5 linked regions of the Canis lupus familiaris genome follow. The protein of the gene in region 2 purifies or fractionates together with the protein of the main gene of each other region. This does not show direct contact. Links are inferred from orthologs where the notes say so. Each region holds a gene or a part of one and is shown on either strand. Other genes may lie near its edges.

The links.
Region 1: the proteins of PHF1 (region 2) and histone-binding protein RBBP7 purify together in Homo sapiens (affinity purification with mass spectrometry; 7 studies listed by BioGRID and IntAct, with this or other methods). This does not show direct contact. The link is inferred for Canis lupus familiaris from reciprocal best matches to the Homo sapiens genes PHF1 and RBBP7.
Region 3: the proteins of PHF1 (region 2) and RBBP4 purify together in Homo sapiens (affinity purification with mass spectrometry; 5 studies listed by BioGRID and IntAct, with this or other methods). This does not show direct contact. The link is inferred for Canis lupus familiaris from reciprocal best matches to the Homo sapiens genes PHF1 and RBBP4.
Region 4: the proteins of PHF1 (region 2) and EED purify together in Homo sapiens (affinity purification with mass spectrometry; 8 studies listed by BioGRID and IntAct, with this or other methods). This does not show direct contact. The link is inferred for Canis lupus familiaris from reciprocal best matches to the Homo sapiens genes PHF1 and EED.
Region 5: the proteins of PHF1 (region 2) and EZH1 purify together in Homo sapiens (affinity purification with mass spectrometry; 5 studies listed by BioGRID and IntAct, with this or other methods). This does not show direct contact. The link is inferred for Canis lupus familiaris from reciprocal best matches to the Homo sapiens genes PHF1 and EZH1.

The regions. Positions count from the first base shown.
Region 1 is NC_049260.1:13,088,402-13,092,504, reverse strand, and holds the start of histone-binding protein RBBP7, read left to right. Parts: upstream 1-1,294; 5' UTR 1,295-1,309; coding exon 1,310-1,457; intron 1,458-1,736; coding exon 1,737-1,881; intron 1,882-1,887; exon of another isoform or gene 1,888-2,287; intron 2,288-2,498; exon of another isoform or gene 2,499-3,918; intron 3,919-4,103. UniProt on the Homo sapiens protein: Core histone-binding subunit that may target chromatin remodeling factors, histone acetyltransferases and histone deacetylases to their histone substrates in a manner that is regulated by nucleosomal DNA.
Region 2 is NC_049233.1:2,998,901-3,003,154, reverse strand, and holds the start of PHF1 (PHD finger protein 1), read right to left. Parts: upstream 2,804-4,254; 5' UTR 2,675-2,803; intron 1,957-2,674; 5' UTR 1,938-1,956; coding exon 1,779-1,937; intron 1,687-1,778; coding exon 1,605-1,686; intron 1,497-1,604; coding exon 1,401-1,496; intron 971-1,400; coding exon 870-970; intron 777-869; coding exon 628-776; intron 428-627; coding exon 332-427; intron 155-331; coding exon 86-154; intron 1-85. Other genes in the region: kinesin-like protein KIFC1, read right to left, coding at 4,068-4,112. UniProt on the Homo sapiens protein: Polycomb group (PcG) that specifically binds histone H3 trimethylated at 'Lys-36' (H3K36me3) and recruits the PRC2 complex. Involved in DNA damage response and is recruited at double-strand breaks (DSBs).
Region 3 is NC_049223.1:68,051,763-68,056,061, reverse strand, and holds the start of RBBP4 (histone-binding protein RBBP4), read left to right. Parts: upstream 1-1,499; 5' UTR 1,500-1,644; coding exon 1,645-1,660; intron 1,661-2,241; coding exon 2,242-2,389; intron 2,390-3,250; exon of another isoform or gene 3,251-3,411; intron 3,412-4,299. Other genes in the region: ZBTB8OS (protein archease), read right to left, coding at 763-895. UniProt on the Homo sapiens protein: Core histone-binding subunit that may target chromatin assembly factors, chromatin remodeling factors and histone deacetylases to their histone substrates in a manner that is regulated by nucleosomal DNA.
Region 4 is NC_049242.1:13,357,254-13,360,411, forward strand, and holds the end of EED (polycomb protein EED), read right to left. Parts: intron 2,233-3,158; coding exon 2,074-2,232; intron 1,412-2,073; coding exon 1,338-1,411; intron 839-1,337; coding exon 712-838; 3' UTR 503-711; downstream 1-502. UniProt on the Homo sapiens protein: Polycomb group (PcG) protein. Component of the PRC2/EED-EZH2 complex, which methylates 'Lys-9' and 'Lys-27' of histone H3, leading to transcriptional repression of the affected target gene.
Region 5 is NC_049230.1:20,160,942-20,164,259, forward strand, and holds part of EZH1 (histone-lysine N-methyltransferase EZH1), read left to right. Parts: intron 1-970; coding exon 971-1,149; intron 1,150-1,665; coding exon 1,666-1,761; intron 1,762-2,183; coding exon 2,184-2,265; intron 2,266-2,922; coding exon 2,923-3,003; intron 3,004-3,318.

The sequences.
Region 1 (4,103 bases), on a different chromosome or scaffold from region 2:
GGAGGCCCCTCGGCTTTAGCAGTCAAAAAACGCCCGCGGCCTCTGTAAAAGGTTTCCTCAGCCTGCAACGAACCCCACCTCAGCTCGACCGGACCCCGGGAAAAGCCAGTCGACTAGAGGGAAGCCTTTCAGGGTACACAGAATTGCATGCCCGTGATTATCCGGGAGACGTTGAGGGCACAGTAATCTCTCGAGACTAGAAACCATTTTCCTCTCGCTCTGAGATTTTGCTTGGCTAAGCCGCGTCAACCTCCCTGCCCCCCTCCCACCCCACCGCCACGGCCGCTGCAAGCAGCCACGCCCCGCGGCCCCGGGGCTCACAGCCCCCGCGCAGCCCGCACGCCGCGCCCCCATCCGCCCCACCCCCGCGCGCCCCCATCCGCCCCCGCGCCCGGCCCTGGGAGCGCTGGGCGAGCCCTCGCGCCTGCGCCTCGCCAACTTCCTGCCGCGGAACGCCCCGCCCACCCCCAGAAGCCCGCCCACAAATGCCGCGTGAAACCTGCGTGCCGCACCTCATTGGTTGAAACAACCGAGCCGTTGGCTCCCAGGCCCGCCTCTCCACCGCCTCTCACTTTTCCCAGGGCGGATGCGCCTGCGCTCAGCTGCCTGGGCGGGCTGGGAGGCGCGGGTTGAAAAGTCTCGTTCCAAGTTTGGAGAGAGAGAGAAGAGCGCCTCAGACCTCGGTACCCGCGAGCGGGGAGGAGGCAGGAGAGAAGGACGCAGCGTTTGGGGAGCACCCAGGCCGTAAGACGGAGCTCACGCTTCGAGAGCTAGAAGTGTGTGACGCGCCTGGGCGAGGCAGGAACGCCTGCGGTTGGGCTGCTGTTGGCTAGCGAGGGGAGTCCGAGGCGGCGGCGAGGGGCGAACGACCCGACGCAAGATGGCGAGTAAAGAGAGTAAGAGGCCCTGCGGGGCGGCGCGCGCCGGGACCGCGGGGGGCGGCGGGCGCGCGAGGCCGCGGCACGCGCCGGCGAAAGGCGCGAATTGGCGTGAGGAGCAGGGGGCGGGGCCGGGCGCGAGGCTAGGCGCGCGCCTCGAGGGGCCTACAGCGGGACGGGACCGCGGCGCGGAGGGCTCCGAGCACTTCCGGAGCCGGGCGCGGGGCCGCGGGTTGGGCCCCCTTCCCCCTCTGCCCCCCCCCGCTCCCCTCCCCCCCCTCTGGCGGCGGCGCTCCCTCCGGCGCCCTTGGCTCTCGGGCGGAGGCGGCCTCCGCCACCGGAAAGCGGACACGGCTGCTCCTTCCACGCGCGCGCGTCGACCGCTTCGGGGTCGCGGCCCTTGTCCGGGGGATTCTGGCACACGCCGGCCTATGGCTGCTGACGCGGGCTTCGTGGGAGCGGAGGCCGCTCCTGGTGGGGGATGGAGGGAGCGGGCCGAGGGGTTTCTGCTACACGTGGATTCGTCTCCCGGGGTGGGTCGTGGAGCCCCTGCACAGATGGGTCGTCATCTTAGAACAGGTGCGAACAGCTGTAACTGCTGAAACAAAATCGTCGTCTGTGTAATTGCCCAATTCTGTATACGCAAGCAGTATCGATTTCTAAGTGCAAAAAATAAGCTTCCTGGTGTTAATATTCTCCTCACGTTCTGGAAGAGCAGTTAGTTCGTGTCCAAATTAAACGTAAAGCTGAGGAGTAGATTAGGTGTGGCCATCTCGAGGTGACCTCCACTATCTGTGTACAGATTCTAACTCGATTTCTCTCAGCCACTTAATTGTGTGGGATTTCTCCAAATTTCAGTGTTTGAAGATACTGTGGAGGAGCGTGTCATCAATGAAGAATATAAAATCTGGAAGAAGAATACACCGTTTCTGTATGACCTGGTTATGACCCATGCTCTTCAGTGGCCGAGTCTTACCGTTCAGTGGCTTCCTGAAGTGACTAAGTAAGGGTTTCTGGCAACTTTTACTTTGCATAAATTTGACTATTATCCCGAAATTCCTAGTTTTGGCATTTTACACATAGAACATGAGCGTGTAATCAATTTAGCCCTTGCATGAGGTGGCAGGTGATTTTTATTTTCAAAACAAGTGATTTATGGGATGGTTTTTGATATGTAAGCGTGGGGACAAAGTGCGATTAATGATATTTGTGGGGAGCATCTAACGAATTTAACAGTTCTTGGGATTAAATATAGAGCAGCATTTTGGGGACCCAGACTAATGGATTTCTTTAAAACTTTATTGAAAAAGAGCACACGTACAGAAAAATGCACAAATCATAAGCATATGGCTGGATGGATTTTTACGAAGGGAGCACATCCATGTAACCAGCCACCACTATATGAATAGGTTTTTTTTTTTTTTTTTTTTTTTTTTTTTTAATTTATTTATGATAGTCACACAGAGAGAGAGAGAGAGGCAGAGACACAGGCAGAGGGAGAAGCAGGCTCCATGCACCAGGAGCCCGATATGGGATTCGATCCCGGGTCTCCAGGATCGCGCCCCGGGCCAAAGGCAGGCGCCAAACCACTGCGCCACCCAGGGATCCCTATATGAATAGGTTTTAATTGACAAAGGGAAAAAAGAATTTAGCAGTAGTTCACTGAAGAAAAGACGTTACTAGCTGATAGTGTGGAATACACTTGGAGGTTGCTGTTGGTTCTTTTCAGCCGTTTCTAAAATTTCTCTGGTAATAATTGCTGGTATTATTGAACACTTAAAATAGGGCCTGGCACATCTCAACAGTTTTGTGTCCAGTTGTTTAATATTCAGAATTATACTATGAAAAAGTATACTATGATTATTCTTTATCATCTTTGTCTTACTGTTGTGGAAACTGGGGTGGGGGTGTTAAAATACCCAGGATCATCCAGCAAGTGGTGGAGTGGGATTTTGAACCCAAACCGGGTACCCCAGAGTTGAGGCAACTCCTGTATTATTAGACTTTCTTAAGCGCTTGCACTTTTTCTAGTAGGAACTTGGCTGTGTACTTTAAAAGTATTTAATTTGGGTATTGTGAACATATATTTTTAATGAGGATTAACAAAACTAACGTAGGAAGGGGATTTTGAGACAATTTCTGAAAATAAGAGCAAGTTAATTTTCTATGAGGTTACTCCTTTAATGGCCGAATTCTCCATATGCAGACATTGTCTTCCATATAGGTAGAGGCTTTTATTAGGATTCCCCAAAATCAGTGTAAATACACAGATGTGATAAGAATAGCCAAGAAATAAAAAACAGACTTCAAAACACTGACATAACAATTTTGAACATCAAATACTTAAGGGTATTCAGGTTCTCCTTTGAGCACCATGTACTTTTGATTCTTTGTGCACTCCTGTTAAGTAAATTAAAACCTTTAACAGCTTAATTTACATTATTTTGGATCTTTTTGATCTACCTTACCAGCAGAACACAGCGGAGGTGTTTAGGACTCTAAGGTTAGAAACCTGAGTTTGAATCCTGCCGCCTGCTTCTTAATAGCTAAATTAGGGCACATTGGTCAGTCTCTATTCCCAAGCTGTCTGATCTGTAAGTGGAGGTGCTGGTGCTTCTGACTGCCTACTTTTGAGGAAATGAAATAAGATCATGCACTTTTAAAGTGCTGGCACAGAAGAAGTCCGCAATAAGTGGTGACTGATGCTGATTTTCTCCCCCTTTGTATTCAGAAATAATTAGACTGTAGTAACTGTGTTTCTCCATTTGGATTCCAGTGAAAACTGCTTATTCAAGTCTTCTGAAAATGTTATCTGTGTTTTGTGTAACAATTTTAAGGATGTTAAATGTGTATGTTCTTAGCCCGGATACTGCTTTTGAAAAGATTTTTATTTTTAAGTAATCTCTACACCCAACGTGGAGCTCAGATTTACAGCCCTGAGATCAAGAGTCACATGTTCCACCTACTGAGCCCGCCAGCCCCCCGCCAATACTGCTTTTATGTTAACACTTAAGAACTTAACAAAAAATACTTTAAATGATGTATTCCGTGGTGTTCTTTGCATACAAAGAAGTGGGATCTGGTTGTGGGATGTGCAGTTGCTCTGGGAATGCAAGAAAATGCCAGCCAGCCTGCATTCTTGGATGTTGAGGATGGCTGTGTGGTACTTTTGCAGGATTCTACTTGGAGTATGAAGGGACTGTGATTGTGTTTTGTTACTATACG
Region 2 (4,254 bases):
TTTGTCAATACAAAAGCCTGGAGAGCCCAAGGTGGGAGGCTGGGGGTGCTGAGAGAGGAGCCATGTGGAGGTGGTGCCCACTCACCAGCGAAGCTGTAGCCTCCTGACCTTCTCAGGGCCACCCCGACACACACAGCATTCGAACTCGTAGAACCTGGAAGTGGGCGAGGGGGAGAGAGCGTGGAGGACTTATGAATAAGGATGGGGTGCGTAGGGGAGGTGAGCTTCAGAGGCTGGGGAGACATGGAGCTGAAGCAGCATGGGGGCCTGAGAGGGTAGAGCAGGGCAAGAGTATTCTCCCTTGGCTCCCAGAGAGCCAGCCCCATCTCACCTGTCCCCGTAGAGGAGCGGCTTGCTCAGACACTGGGTGCAGGCCTCATGGAACCACTGCAGGCAGCTCTGGCACTGCAACATTTTCAGGTTCCACCTGAGAGGGAACACAGGACTGGTGACCTCCAGACACTGCCCCGACCTGAATGGCCCCAAACCCTACTCACCACCTACTTCTGCTTTCTTCAGCACTCCCTTCATCCTATTTTTTCTCCTTCATTCCCCAGGATCCCCCCACCCACTCCATCATTCATTCCCTCCCCACCACTCCTCCACCCCTGTCCCTCATTTACTCACTCCCCAGGGCCACCACAGTAACAGTAGCTCTGCTGTCGGTTGCTCAGATGTCCAGCGTCCCAGTCTAGCCCCTTTAGTCCATATGGCAGTGACAGCTTCATGCCCAGCATGGCCCGGGCATAGGGGCCCTTCTTCAGTGCACCCCCCCTCTGCAGGGAGGAAACAGGCCACCTCAGACGGGTAGGGAACAGGAAGGCTTGGGAGAGGTGGTGGGGGAGGCTCCCACAGAATGGTGACCTTACCTTGGTGGCAATGGCAAAGACACACTGGCGACAGACCCAGGATGTGCCCTCTCCCTCTCCAGGGGCTGGGGCTCTTGGAACGTGGCAGTCCTGGTGATAAGCTGAATAATGATAATATTGATGGTAGACCATTTATTGCACAATATACCTGTGTGTGCTAGTGACTGGGATAGGAGGAGTCTGGGCCACCTCATTTCATCTTTGACTGTGATCTGGCTGCAGTAGATAAGTTACCCTTATTTTACAGGTGAGGAGACAGGCTCCTAGGGGCTTGGGAATTTGCCCAAGGTTTTATGGTTAGTAAAGGTGTATTTGAACCATCCTCTGTCTACAAAGCCCACACCTCCTGATTCCATGGCTATTTCTCCCTGTGCTGGAAGAGAGGTTACAGAGTTGAGCAGACTGGCCAGAGCAGTGGCTTGGGGACTCAGCCAGGACAGGTGGCCTAAGGATCAGTGGTGGAGGGAAGACTTAGAGGCAGCCTGGAAGGTTCAGGGCAAGCTAGACCATTTAGGTATCCTGCCCTCTCACCGTGGCGACACTTCTCACAGCTGACCAGCCGGTTTCCAGGGACCACAGTCTCAGAGCGACAGACACAGCAGAGGAGTTCCTCCCCGGGGAGGGCAGCTGTGAGGGAACAGTGTTGTGGGGCCTGTCCTTAAGCCCCCTTTACATCCCCCAAGCCAGGTTTCTGCTTTCCACAGCATGCATATATTTGGGCCTCTAAGGTCTCACCAGGGCTAATGTCTTTCCATAGAACCAGAAACTGGGAATCGTCCTCAAACTGGACCAGACACACCTCCCGGGAACTGTCCACCTGGAATGGATGAGCACAGGAGATGAAACAGGAATCGGAACTACATAAGGAGAATGGGGGGAAGGTAATAAGTCAGAAGTCAAAGGTCTTACTTTCTTGATGGTCCCCAAGTATAGCAGTCCATCCGTCCACCTGGCCAGCACATCTTGACCCTCCCAAAGTCGAGGCCTGGGGCCTGAGGTGGGAGCAGGGGAGGCTGGGTCCCAAAGTGGGGGGGCACCAGAGCGGCTCAGCCGGGGGGGCTGTGCCATTGCATCCTGGGGGGGGGGGCTATCCAGAAGTGGGATGGGAGAAGGTTATGAATGTTGAGAAACTGTCCCCATTTTTCTATGCCTCAAGGACTCAAGCAGCTGTGCTACCAGTCTCCAAATATGAAATACCTGGATAGGAAATCACACAGCACCCCTCCCAAGCTTCATGACTCCAGCTTTTCCAACTCTGGTGACTGGCTCTCCTCTCCCTAACACCCCCCACCCCCCAACCTAGTTCTCTAGTTTCCCAGCTTCCAGAGCTCCCCTGGGATACTGTATCCTGGCCTTGAGATTTTAGGAGGAATGATGGTTGCAGAAGCAAAGGTTACCATTCAGTTTCTACTGTCACCTTCTGTTTAGAGATACTGTAATTGGGGTGTTCTGCTACCCAGAGAATGTGTTTTGGGAGCTTTTCTGGAAATGTTTTCCAAATTAGAAACGGCTGCCTCCCCGGGCCCCTGTGTCTCCAGAACAATAATCCCGATGCCAGGTTATGGCAGGTCACCCTCAAATACGGGGCTCCCTGTCCCCCGGGTTAGATAACTTCCTTGAGTGCCCTGGGAGGGGGGCGTGTCCCAGTCCCGGTCTCTACTCCCCAGGACAGCGAGTCCGAGAGGGGACTTGAGTCAGCCCAGCGCGAGCTGATGCCTGGGCGGCGAGGCTCTCCCGCCCGCGCCCTGCGCGCCGACCCCCGGCTCCCTGCCCCCCCCCACGGGCGCCTCCCGCCGCCTCCTTACCAGTGACAGCTGGGGCCGCCGGGAGCCGGGCAGAGGCAGACGTGGGAGACCGAGGCGAACCCCCCGCGCGGGGAGGGCACGTCTGGGCGTCGGAGGGCGGGCAGGCAAGGGCCGGGGGGTCCCCAGGCCCAGCCCCTCCGTCCCGGCAGCTCTGGGGCGTATGACGCAGCAGCCAAAGCAGCGGCAGCGGCAGGAGGAGGCGGCGGGGGGAAGGAGGGGAGGGGAGGGGAGGGACAAACCGGCTCGGGGGGAGGGTAGTGGGAGGGGAGGACTGAGGGGAAGGAGGAGCCGGGGGGGGGGCGGGCACCACCTCACCCCACCTCCCTCACCTCCAACGGGCCTGGAGGGCGCCGAACGGGTGGCGGCCTCCCCACGGCTGGGGCGGGTGGAAAGTCAAGACCCAGTGCGAGAGGGAATCCCTGCAGCCCCTTCCTCGGAGGGAGATCCGCCCTCGGGGCAGCAGGGAATCCCCCCCTTCCCCGCAGCTGGTCTCCAGCCTGGCCCCCGCCCCATGCCACATCCGTTAACTGCCCCCCCAACCTCCATGGTCACTCCAAGTCCCGCCCCTCGGCCCCAGTTCACGACCCCGCCCCCCATTCACCCGTCCCGTCGCCCCCGCCACGCCCTCCTCCCTCGAGTGCCCCGCCTTCCTCCCGCCTTTGCCCCGGCCCCGCCCTCCCCGTGGTAAGTCTCCCCCCGCCACACCGCCGCCGCGCTTCTGCGCATGCGTGACCCCTCCCGCGCGCGGCACCTGGGTGGACCGAGCCCCTCCTTTGCCGGGCGGTGGCCGTTGGCGGTTGGCGCGAGCGAGTCAGCGGGCGTGCAGCCCACCCAGCGCCTGTAGGGCGGGTACACGGACCGGGAGAGCTAGTAGCGAGGCGGTAACGCCGCCGAGAGCCAGCCAATGGGCAGCGGGCGGGCCGGCCCCAGTTCTTCGAATGGGACGGCAAGGAAAGAGCGGGAGGGAGAGCCCGCAGTTTGCAGGAGGGCTCGCTGGCCCGGCCTCTGGACTCGGGCTTCCACTTTCCCGCACCCACCAGACGAGCTCTCCGCGTGGAGCTGGGTGGCCTGCGGCAAACCAGTGACGGCGGTCGGCCAGTGGGCACATCTCCTAGAGGCGGACAACCAGGGTAACCATCTAGTCTCCAGGAGATAGCCAGGTAGAGAAAAGCTGAAACCCTTGCTCTGCAAAACACAAATACTCGGCAGAGTAGACGATCCACAGTTCCCATTTTTACAGATACGGGCCATTGTTAACAAAACCTTTATTTAAAGAAAAAAAACTTGTTCTTTATTTGATAGACCCAGGTCACAGAGCGCCCCTCCCCCCAACAAAGCATCCTTCAGCGCCACCCCCACCCCCCCTTCCCAAACAGAGGATCTGGATCTGTCTTCATTTCCTGTTAGCCTGGGCCGTACCAATAACACACTGGTTCACCTGCGGGCAGAGGTTTTAGAATAAAAATATTTTGTGAGTAACCAAAATAACAGTTTTCTCCAAGATCACCCCCCACCCCCAATATTGGGGCTGCCCTCAGAAAATACTAAAACAAAGGCTCTGAAGGCAGATTCAGCCTGGT
Region 3 (4,299 bases), on a different chromosome or scaffold from region 2:
TAGAGTAGAAAAATAGAAGTCAGATTTGTGCTCCGCAAACCATAGCAATCTTTAGGGATGATAGCTAAATGTTTAAATAGAAGATCAGAATATGTACTATACTTTTGTGTTTACTATTATCTCATTTACTCCCCAGTTAAGGAACTATGGTGCCATGAGAGATTATATAACTTGCCACAAGTTATGAAGCTGTTCATGGCAAAACCAGGTCTTTTTTTTTTTTTTTTTTTTTTTAAAGATTTTATTTATTTCTTCACGAGAGACACAGAAGAGAAGCGACTCCTCGCAGGAGCCGGAGGCGGGGCTTAATCCCGAATCCCGGGATCACGCCCTGGGTTGAAGGCAGACGCCCAACCGCTGAGCCACCCAGGCATCCCCAAACCAGGTCTTTTTACTAAAAGCACGATCCAGGTAAAACACCAAATTACATGTCCCCTACTCAGCTAAGTCCTCTAACCTAATGATACTCTAACCACCCCACTGTTGGGAAACACATACGGGCGACCACCCGGCAAATGCTTGAAAATACGTTTATCTTTAGAATGAAGACACTGGTAAAATTCCCACGAGGTAATGGGACTAGGTAAATGTAGAAAGAATTCAAGGAACCATAAAAGTGGCAGCCCAGTTTTCTGACTCTCAGGCCAGGTGGCTGTTCCCTTCAGCACTCCCGGCTGAAGCACCTCAGGGGCAAAGCGGAAGGCGAGACCGGAAGACCTGGGCAAGGCGAAAGGGCATGAGAGAAGTGAGCCATCTACTCACACTCGTACTTCCGAATGGCTGGAGGATACTTGGCCTTGATCGCCTTCTGCTCTTCAGTCAAATTGTAATCTCGAATATCTTCCTCTTCCTGCGCCATAATTGCCGCACTGGACACTCTACTTCCGCCCTTCATTAGCTGGACTTCAGCCCTGATTTACAACTTCCGCTCTAGACTCCGCCCCTTGGCACGCGCCCTTAAAGCACCAGGACCCCATTCTCGCAGATAGACTTTATATGGTTAACACTTCTGTCCTAGGACTCGCTGCCGGAAGCACATCTTTAATAGGCTTCGGCCCTATTTCTGCGTTTCTTCATCCGTTCTAAGAACAAAGGAAACATACACACTGGAGGACGTGGGAGGAGGGAGACACTTTAGAACTAAATACCCGCTTGTCTGGGTGGTGAGAAGCCTTTTCTTTTTACCTCACAGAGTCGATAACTACACCCGAAGCCACCCTAGATTTCTCATCTGAGTACTTTTAAAGTGTCGGGAGCTGCACAGCTTTTAAGAAAATGGCTGCCCCCTGGAGAGTGCGGACTAAACCTCTCACGTGACCCGACGCGCGCACTCCCACCGGGTCCGCGCGCGCGCAATCGTAGGAAGTCGGCTCCCGGCCGTGTCGGGGCAGGGGAGGGGCGCGCACCTCGGCACCGCAGAAAGCGACTCTGCGCGTCTGGATAGGCTGCAAACGCGGCTTCCCCGCCCACCCCGCCGTTCGGGACGCTGCGATTGGCCGGTGTTGGCGCGAAGGTGCGCGAGTAGGCCCTCACGCAGGGGCAGCAGGAAACAATAGAGGCCGCGCGCGCAGAGCGAGCGCCTGTAGCCTCCCCGCCCCTCCCGCAGCGCTCGACCCCGGGATCCCCCCGGCTCGCCTGCCCGCCATGGCCGACAAGGAAGGTAAGGGCCGCCCCGGGAGGGCGGGGGGTGCCGGGCTGGCGCCGCGGCCTCGACAGGGCCTAGCAGTGAAGGCAAGCCCGACTCTTGAGTGCTGTCCCCACCATCGAAGGCGTGAGGAGAAATCGCCCCGCGGGCGGGCTAACGGCGCGCCAGTTCCTCCGACACGGAGGCCGGTGGCCGCGGTGTGGAGCTGGTGGGGGGGCCCCGGCGGGTGTTTGGGCCCTCCCCGCGCTCGCTGTCGGCCTGCCCGCCTCTCGCGTTCTGCGTGCGCTGCTCCCTACCCCGGGGGCCGGTGCGCGGGCCTCCGCGCGGGTTCCGTCGATTCAGCGGGAACGCGAGCGTGCTCCCGAGGCCCGGCGCCGGCGCCCGAACAGCTAACGGGAGTGACGCGCCCCGCTAGCCCGAGAGTAATTGCGGGCCCGCGAGGCGGGGAGGGGTGCAGGTCGCTCCGCCTCGGGGACATTTAGACATATCTGCTCCATTTCAGAATCTTGACTTAATAAGCAGTGCCGGTAGCTTTGGAAGCGTTGGCTCGGTTTCCATTTGTGTTCGCTAACTTAATTTGTTTTTTAACTTTTTAGCAGCCTTTGATGACGCAGTAGAGGAACGTGTGATCAACGAAGAGTACAAAATATGGAAAAAGAACACCCCTTTTCTTTACGATTTGGTGATGACCCATGCTCTGGAGTGGCCTAGCCTAACTGCACAGTGGCTTCCAGATGTAACCAGGTGATGTGAATCTCTTGAACGTTATCTTGTGTCCTCCTCAGCGTTGATTTCTCACGTTGATTTTTCCGTGTCTTCCCCCAGTCACCCGAAGAGGGCACGTAATGATAACCTATGGGTGATGTTTTTTTCCTAGGCCAAAAAATAATACAAAATGTAAAAATAGTTTTGCAATGTACCTGATAAGAGAAAACTTGTTTTCTTTTCCTGATAACGAATTGAATAGCCTGTTATAATTACAGTTGGAAAATAATGTAAAATGTGTCAGTTTTCAAAAAAAGCTATGATTTCAGTTCTTTCAGCAAAATATTTGAATTGTAGGTAGTAGCTGGTTAATATAAAGAGGTATATGACATGGTACCTGCCTTCAAGGAGCACAAGTGTAATTGAGGCCCATGTAAACTAATAATTACAGTAACCTATGCTAAAAGCAGTTTTACAGAGATACTTAGGATATTTAGAACTAAGAACTGAAGATGGGGTGGTTTGGGGGTTTTATATAAGGGAATTATGCATAGTGAGAGAGAAATCACATGTAGGGAAGGTCTTAAATGTGACAAGCTTACCTCTAAGAAGGTAAGCTTAATAGTACTTAATTTACTTTCCATTTGTTTAGTCTGCTAGGTGCTATAAATTAGGGTGTACAAGTTTAGATGGACACCTTCCCTGCCTTGATTTCTTGTGTATATAGTATGGTAGATTACCACCCCCCTTATTTGTAGGGAGTATGGCCAAAGATCCCCAGTGGGTGTCTGAAACCACGGATGGTACTGAACTCTGTTATGTTTCTGAACATACATAATTGTGATAAAGCTTAATTTATAAATTAGAAACGGTAAAAGATTAATAGAACAATGGTTATATAGCTTTGTGCAGGGGGCAGTATCGTAGCCAATGAGGTTTATCCGAGGCACGATTATTGCTAATAAAACAATGGTTATAACAACATACCATAATAAAAGCTGAGTGTGATCTCTTGCTGTCAAAATGTTTCACTGTAATCACCCTTCAAGTAATATTGTTGAGAAAATGCCTGTGTGATGAAGTGAGGTGAATGACATGGGCATTGTGATGAAGTATTAAGCTACTTATTTACCTGATAAATCAGAAGGGAGATCATCTACTTCTGGAGGGCATCGTGGTTGACTGTGGGTAACTGAAACCATGGATGGGGGTTTTCTACTGTATTACAGTAAAAAGTATCATAAGAGTAGCACAGTTAAAATGATCAAGGGAAGGAAAAATCACCTCAACTTAGGGTATCATGAAAGGCTTCCAGGAGAAAGTGACAATGCAAAGATGAAGGTGAATTTAAATAATTAAAGGTTTATCAAGACCAAAGTGCCTGTTGGAATAATGGGTTTTCTTTTATAAAATTGCTTCACCATTCAGAGTAACATTTAAAAATTATATTGTGTGCTGAATAACTAAATTCCTTCGAAATTCATCTCTTTCGAGTTCAAAATATGGTTATTAGGCTATGTTTCAGCTCAACAAGTAATAGAAATTTTATTAATTACTTAAACAGGTTGCTACCTTCACAGTGGCATTAAAAAATGAAGAAGTAGAGTTGGAAGCTTTATCATGATCCATGTTCACCTATGGGTCATCAGAATTGCTTGAGCTCGAGGAGCCTGGGTGGCAGTCTGTTAAGTGGCTGACTCTTGGTTTCAGCTCAGGTGGTGGTCTCAGGGTCAGGAGATCGAGCCTGTCACTCTGTACAGAAGACTTCTTCTACCCCTCCCCACACACTCTACTCCCTTGGGCTTGCACTCACTTGCACTCTTTCTTTTTTTTAAGAAAATATATTTATTTTATTTGAGTTCAGGTTAAGTGGAGTCATTTCTGTCAGGAGTTCTCAGTGATAGTCAAATCATTTAGAAACTGGTGGCAGGGGGGATCCCTGGGTGGCT
Region 4 (3,158 bases), on a different chromosome or scaffold from region 2:
GCTCAGTCAGTTCAGCGTCTGCCTTTGGCTCAGGTCATGATCCCAGGATCCTGGGATCAAGTCCCACTTTAGGATCCTTGCTCAGCAAGGAGTCTGCTTCTCCCTCTACCACTCCCCCTGCTTGTGATCTCTCTCGAATAAATGAATGAATGAATGAAATCTTTATAAAAAAGAAGCAACAATGTATTTAGGGTACATCTGAGTACTATTCCAGCTGCTTCACTTATTTAATCATTTGATCCTTAATAACCCTATGAGGTAGGTATTCTTATCCCTGTTTCACACAAGAAGAAACTGAGGTAGATGTTAAATTACTTAGCTCAGCTCATGTTTGCAGAGCCAAGACTAAAGTCCGCTTAATCCTAGAGCTTACACTTAATCACTACATTATATAGCTTTCTTCAGTTAAAAGGACTACAAAAATGATCATTACAAAAAAGAAAGGGAATACTTTTATTACTTTCAACATTTCTTTTTATCACAATGAAAATAAACACACAGCTTTACAAAAATAAATTTTTATTAAAAGCAGTAGAGTCTGAGCAGAAGACAGTACAAAGAATGTAAACAATGTAAACATCACTACATTCAGCTCAGCCTGATTGAATGCTGAAAGACAACTCTAAATGCTCTATGTGCCCTTACTAGCAAGATACATTAATTCTATTATACACAGAAAACACACTCTAATTTTGATAAGGAAAAAATATTTTATCGAAGTCGGTCCCAGCGCCAAATACTGGCATCATCACAAACAGCTATAAGAATACTGCTATCCCTGCTAAAACTGGTTTGTCGAATAGCAGCACCACATTTATGATGAGTCAGTGTTGTACATCTAGGAAAAAACAAGACAATAGGTTAAAAGCCATTCATAAATATTGTCAGTAGCAAATTAAACCAACGAATAAGAAAACAAACAGATGTTCCAAGTCATATGGAAAGCATTTAAAATATCACTAAGAGCTCAATCTCTAATTTCATAACATTTGGGTATATTTTAAATTAATAAAAAGAAAGGTGTAACTTGTCACCAAAGTACTCATGATAAACAGCCATTATGAGAATAAAAAATATTTTTAAATAACTGAGTCATATAAATGTTAAAAATGATTTAAGAATGATACTTCAAGGGATCCATGGGTGGCTCAATGGTTGAGCGTCCCAGGTTGTGATCCCGGAGTCCTGGGATTGAGTCCCAATCAGGCTCCAAGCACGGAGCCTCCTTCTCCCTCTATGTGTCTCTGCCTCTCTGTGTCTCTCATGAATAAATTAAATATTGGCATAGCGTTTGAGAAAAAGACAGAAATTATCAATAAAAATTTCTAAATACTTACTTAGCTTTATGAGGATCTTCCACTTCTAAATCCCAAACATAAAGTTTGCCAACCTGATTGCCCAATGCAAGCATCTGTATAAACGTATTTTTAAAAACACCAAATTATTAAAATAGGCTATAGAGCATTCAAATATTCCTAAGATATATTCATATTTCATAAAAACCTCAGTTCCAGACTATGGCTATACTCCTGATTATTTCTATTTCTTTGTATCTTATACTTCTGATTCGTAAATGGATAACAGCAACTTATACTTCAGAGGCATCCTGAGCAAATTAGAAGGCAAATTTATGAAGGACTTTACAATTTACATTGTAGCAAAAGCTACAGACAGCTCCTCCAAAGTTTTCTTATAGAAATAAATACCCAGATAATTTGTTACTACAAATTCATAACACCAATCTCTAAAATTTCTCTAAGCTTTTCTACAAAAAAGCTATTTAAAAAGTTAACATTCAATCACCATAACATTAAATCTTAGTAACAGATGTTATGGAAAGTAAGCACCATTGCCAAGATTGACACCTGTCAACTGCATTTATAATACGCACTGCAAATGGTGTGGAGAGCCTACTCTATAAAGATAGAATAAATAACATCAACGGCTAAAGTAATCAATCACTACAAGATATCAAGGTAGATTCTTAGAGGAAACTGAACATGGATGCACAACAGAGAAAAGTGAAATTACAATGGTCTGAAGTAATTTTAAAATGTAGAAATATGTTGCTACCTTTTGCCAGAAATCCATAGAAAACCTCATGTACCAAATGTCACACTGGCTGTAATCGAATCGCCCAAGAATAGTCACATTAGACTCACTGGGTTTAATTTTATCTATATCATCTTCCATTTTGCCAGGTTTCCAGCACACAATGGCATTTTCACAAGACTTTAGAAGACAGAAATGAGAAAAAATTGTTACATATAGAACTGAAATTTAAAACTTAAAACAAAGCCTTCTTTTCTCTATTATCTTTTTAGAATTGACAGTCTTAAGACCTGGTTATCCATCTAGTAGATACAGTGATATACATTTATTTATATTTACAGAGTCAAGGTCCACACTTGAGGATAAGAGGTCATCTTACAACAGAATTTGACAATATTAAAAAGCATTATATTATCTGGAATATCCATTTTGAAGTCAGAATTTCTTTTCCAAACCAAATTCAGCTCTCAATACTCTGGCATCCAGAGACTTGAGTGTTTTATAACATTTGTTATAAAATATAAAATATAAAATTAAAAAATATATATATAAAATTATATGTTATAAAATATAAAATTATAATTTATAAAATTATAAACGATAAAATTATAAAAACTCTATACAAAAATATGCTTTTCAGTATGGCCCCTGCTTAGAGGCCTTAAAAATCATATTATATAGAAGGTAATAAACTCAGTGGTTTAAATCAAGACATTGATATGGGGATACGACTGAAATAGACTAAGTTATACTTTTCTTATTCTGTAACATAGTATCTTTGCTGAAAAAAAACTGCAACACAGTGGGCACTATTCATATTATAGGTCAGTGGTGTGCCAATTAAGGAACATTTGGCAATGTCCCTGGCCTTTAGCAGGTAGAGGCCAGAGATGCTGCTACATCCTACAATCAATATACAGGATGGCCCCTCCCATTAAAAATAAAGATTGTGTAGCCCAGTATTTCAACAGAACCTGGACTGAGAAATTCCTGTTGGTAGAGAGCTTTCCGGAGTTTTACAGGACACAGCCCACACAGCCACATGTTGCAGCTCTGCCCGTTTCACTAACATATGAATGGTTCAAAAGCAGGGCCAAAGGAAGATT
Region 5 (3,318 bases), on a different chromosome or scaffold from region 2:
TTCCAGGGAAGCAACAAGAAACGTGGGACTCTTTTTCCTTTTTTTTTATTTTAATATTTATTTATTCATGAGAAACAGAGAGGCAGAGACATAGGCAGAGGGAGAGCCCAATGTGGGACTCGATCCGGGGACTCCAGGATCCCACCCTGAGCCAAAGGCAGGTGCTCAACTGTTGAGCCACCCAGGTGTCCCAAGGGAATCTTTTTCCTTAAGGAACAATCACAGCCTCCCTTTCTAGGATGTTGTGTTACAACACATATGGGTTATGATTCTATGCACAGCTGTTTTAGTTTAATACTTGGAGTTTTCCTATCAAGTCCATCTGGATGTCAGCAGAAGTAAGATAGAGGCTAAATGTGCTTCCCTTTTGCTTCTTATCACACCGTGCCCTTCCCTGCTCAAGGGTGAGCAGTTTGATAGCAGCCTCCAGACCTTGCAGAACTTGGTGCCCAGGCAGTTGTACTGGAAATACCTTCTAGCCCATAGCAGATATCGATCTTAGCCACAGCATAGGGGCACTTGTGCTGGGGAAGGCAATGGGTGGAGGGTGGCTTAGAACGGATGCATTCTGTTCTCAAAATGATTCTTATTTTGATGGTGATGATTTAACAGTGAAAAGCACTGATTTCATTTTCTCTGGTTCACTAACCACCTCCCTTCCAAATTCCACCAACAAGGGGGAGGGAGAGCATTGTTGAGGAATTTCTAAGAAACACATCTCCATGGTCAAGCCTGCTTTTTTTACTCCCAGGCATGACTGTCGGGAGGCAGTCATTTTCTCTGGAAAGAAACTTGACTGTATGATTATTGGCAAGGGAGTTTCTTTCCTATTTTGCCAAAATCTCCCTGAGCACATCACATTTACTTCCTTGCTGACCCTCAAGTCAGACCTGAGCCCCAGTATTAGCTGCCTCTGCTCCTAACCCTACCTGCCCCTCCCTTTTGTCCCCCACCCCCATCTCCACCCCAGGTCAGAATCGTTTTCCTGGCTGTCGCTGTAAGACCCAGTGCAACACCAAGCAATGTCCCTGCTACTTGGCAGTGCGAGAGTGTGACCCCGACCTGTGCCTCACATGTGGGGCCTCAGAGCACTGGGACTGCAAGGTGGTTTCCTGCAAAAACTGCAGCATCCAGCGAGGCCTCAAGAAGGTGAGGGCTTTTCTCAGGGCTGCGAGTCAAGTAATGGAGGGGGATAGATGGAGTTGCCCCAAGCAGATTCTTTCCACTGGTCCCTCAGAGGGCTTCATGTGACAGTGCTTGGCAAATCCTAAAGGATACATGTATACTGATTTAATGTGGTTTTCTGTCCTGGGGAGGAGTTCGGAAAGTGACTCCTGAGCTGAATAGCCCGAGAGAGCAGAGAGGAACACCCATCAGTGACATTGTCTGTTTCTACTTGATCCGCAGCAGTGAGTTCCTAACCCTTCAGGTCCAGGAGGCCCCCAGGCCTAGAGGAGGAGGAGTCACATTTCCTTTCGCCACCTCCCTTCTTTGTTTTTCCTCTCCCCAGAACAGAATGGCTTAGACCTTTTTCTGTTTTCAGATCCTCTTAACAGTTGCTAGTTCTTTCCACCCTGCCCACCCCTGGCACACGTGCACATCCAAGACATACCCCGCCCACTCACACATGCCCTGTAGTCTGAGGTTTGACTCCCTCTTCCCCAGCACCTGCTGCTGGCCCCCTCAGATGTGGCCGGATGGGGCACCTTCATTAAGGAGTCTGTGCAAAAAAACGAATTCATTTCTGAATACTGTGGTGAGGTGAGTGCTATCGGTTTGGACCACATTCCTATCTGGGGAGATACTGATGAGAAACTCTGATTTTCTGTGGGCCAGACTTCTATGACTTACTCTCTAAATAACTCAGCTGAGTTCCTGTGTGGCCTCTTGGGGGATCCCACAGAAGTGTTTGCAATCCTGAGATAAATCACTCTTCTGAAGTTCTTTGCCAACTCAGGCCACACAAGGGGGGTGGGCAGGGAGCTCTCTTCAGTCTCCAGCTGGTCACCCTGGGTGGGGATTGGAATGGACCACCTCAAGCTCTGTCTCCTGTGATTCTCATCGTGATGCTCAGTAAGCACCTATGTGTGACACTACCCCCTCTTAGTCCTTTCTGTGAGCAAGGTACCATGCCCCAAACAGACAGTCCAATCCCCCTGTTTGTTCCTTGTCTGTCTCTGCAGCTTATTTCTCAGGATGAGGCTGATCGACGGGGGAAGGTCTATGACAAATACATGTCCAGCTTCCTCTTCAACCTCAACAATGGTATGGAGTGTCTTTCTCTTGCCCCAAGGTAGTCTCAGGCAGGTCTTTCTACTAGCTTGCCATTGCTACAGCCCATGTTCAGATCAACTGTGATTTCTCCAGCTGGTACACAGAGCAAGGTGGGGAGCTTGAACTTTAAGACCCCATGAGCCACAGTTCACTCATTTTGGGAGAGCCCCCATTTGTGGGTAGTGCTTATAATTGGAGCAGTGAGCACTTGCAGTGAGCACTTGCATCTCAGAAATTTCCCTACCCAGTAGATGGGAAGATAATTCCAGCCAAATGGGGCAACCCAAAGAGAACATGCCCCACATGAGGCCATATTCTTATACTGCCTTCTGCTGGACTTCAAAATTCCCACTGGATTATTTCTGTTACTGTTTAATTGATTTTATTTTATTTTTTAAAGATTTTATTTATTTATTTATGAGAGAGAGAGAGAGAGCATGAGAGGCAGAGACAGAGGTAAAGGGAGAAGCAGGCTCCATGCAGGGAGCCTGACATGGGACTTGATCCCGGATCTCCAGGATCAGGGCCTGGGCTGAAGGCAGCGCTAAACCGCTGAGCCACCCGGGCTGCCCATGTTTAATTGATTTTAAAATCATGTTCAAGAAGCTGTGGATTTGCCTGGTGAGCTCATGATCTTTTTTTATATAGATTTTGTAGTAGATGCTACCAGAAAAGGAAACAAGATTCGATTTGCAAACCATTCAGTGAACCCCAACTGTTATGCCAAAGGTGAGTTCCCAGTCACCTGGGAGGTAGGGTGAGTGATGGATGCTTTATTTACTATGATTTTTATGAACTATGTACCTTTTTTCATTGCTGAGTTATTTTTTGTCCAAAGACAATCACGATTAACGTCTGGTATCATTTTGAGTCTCTTTTGTAATTGGCTTTCTTCACTGAATACATTATAAAGATTTACCCACAAACAAGAATCTTTTGAAGGTGATCTTCCTATATCACCAGTCAGAATAATAGATCTAAAGCAAGGAAGCAACTGTCTTCACTGACTGGTTTTTACTCACACTTCACTTATGTTTTTCCTGG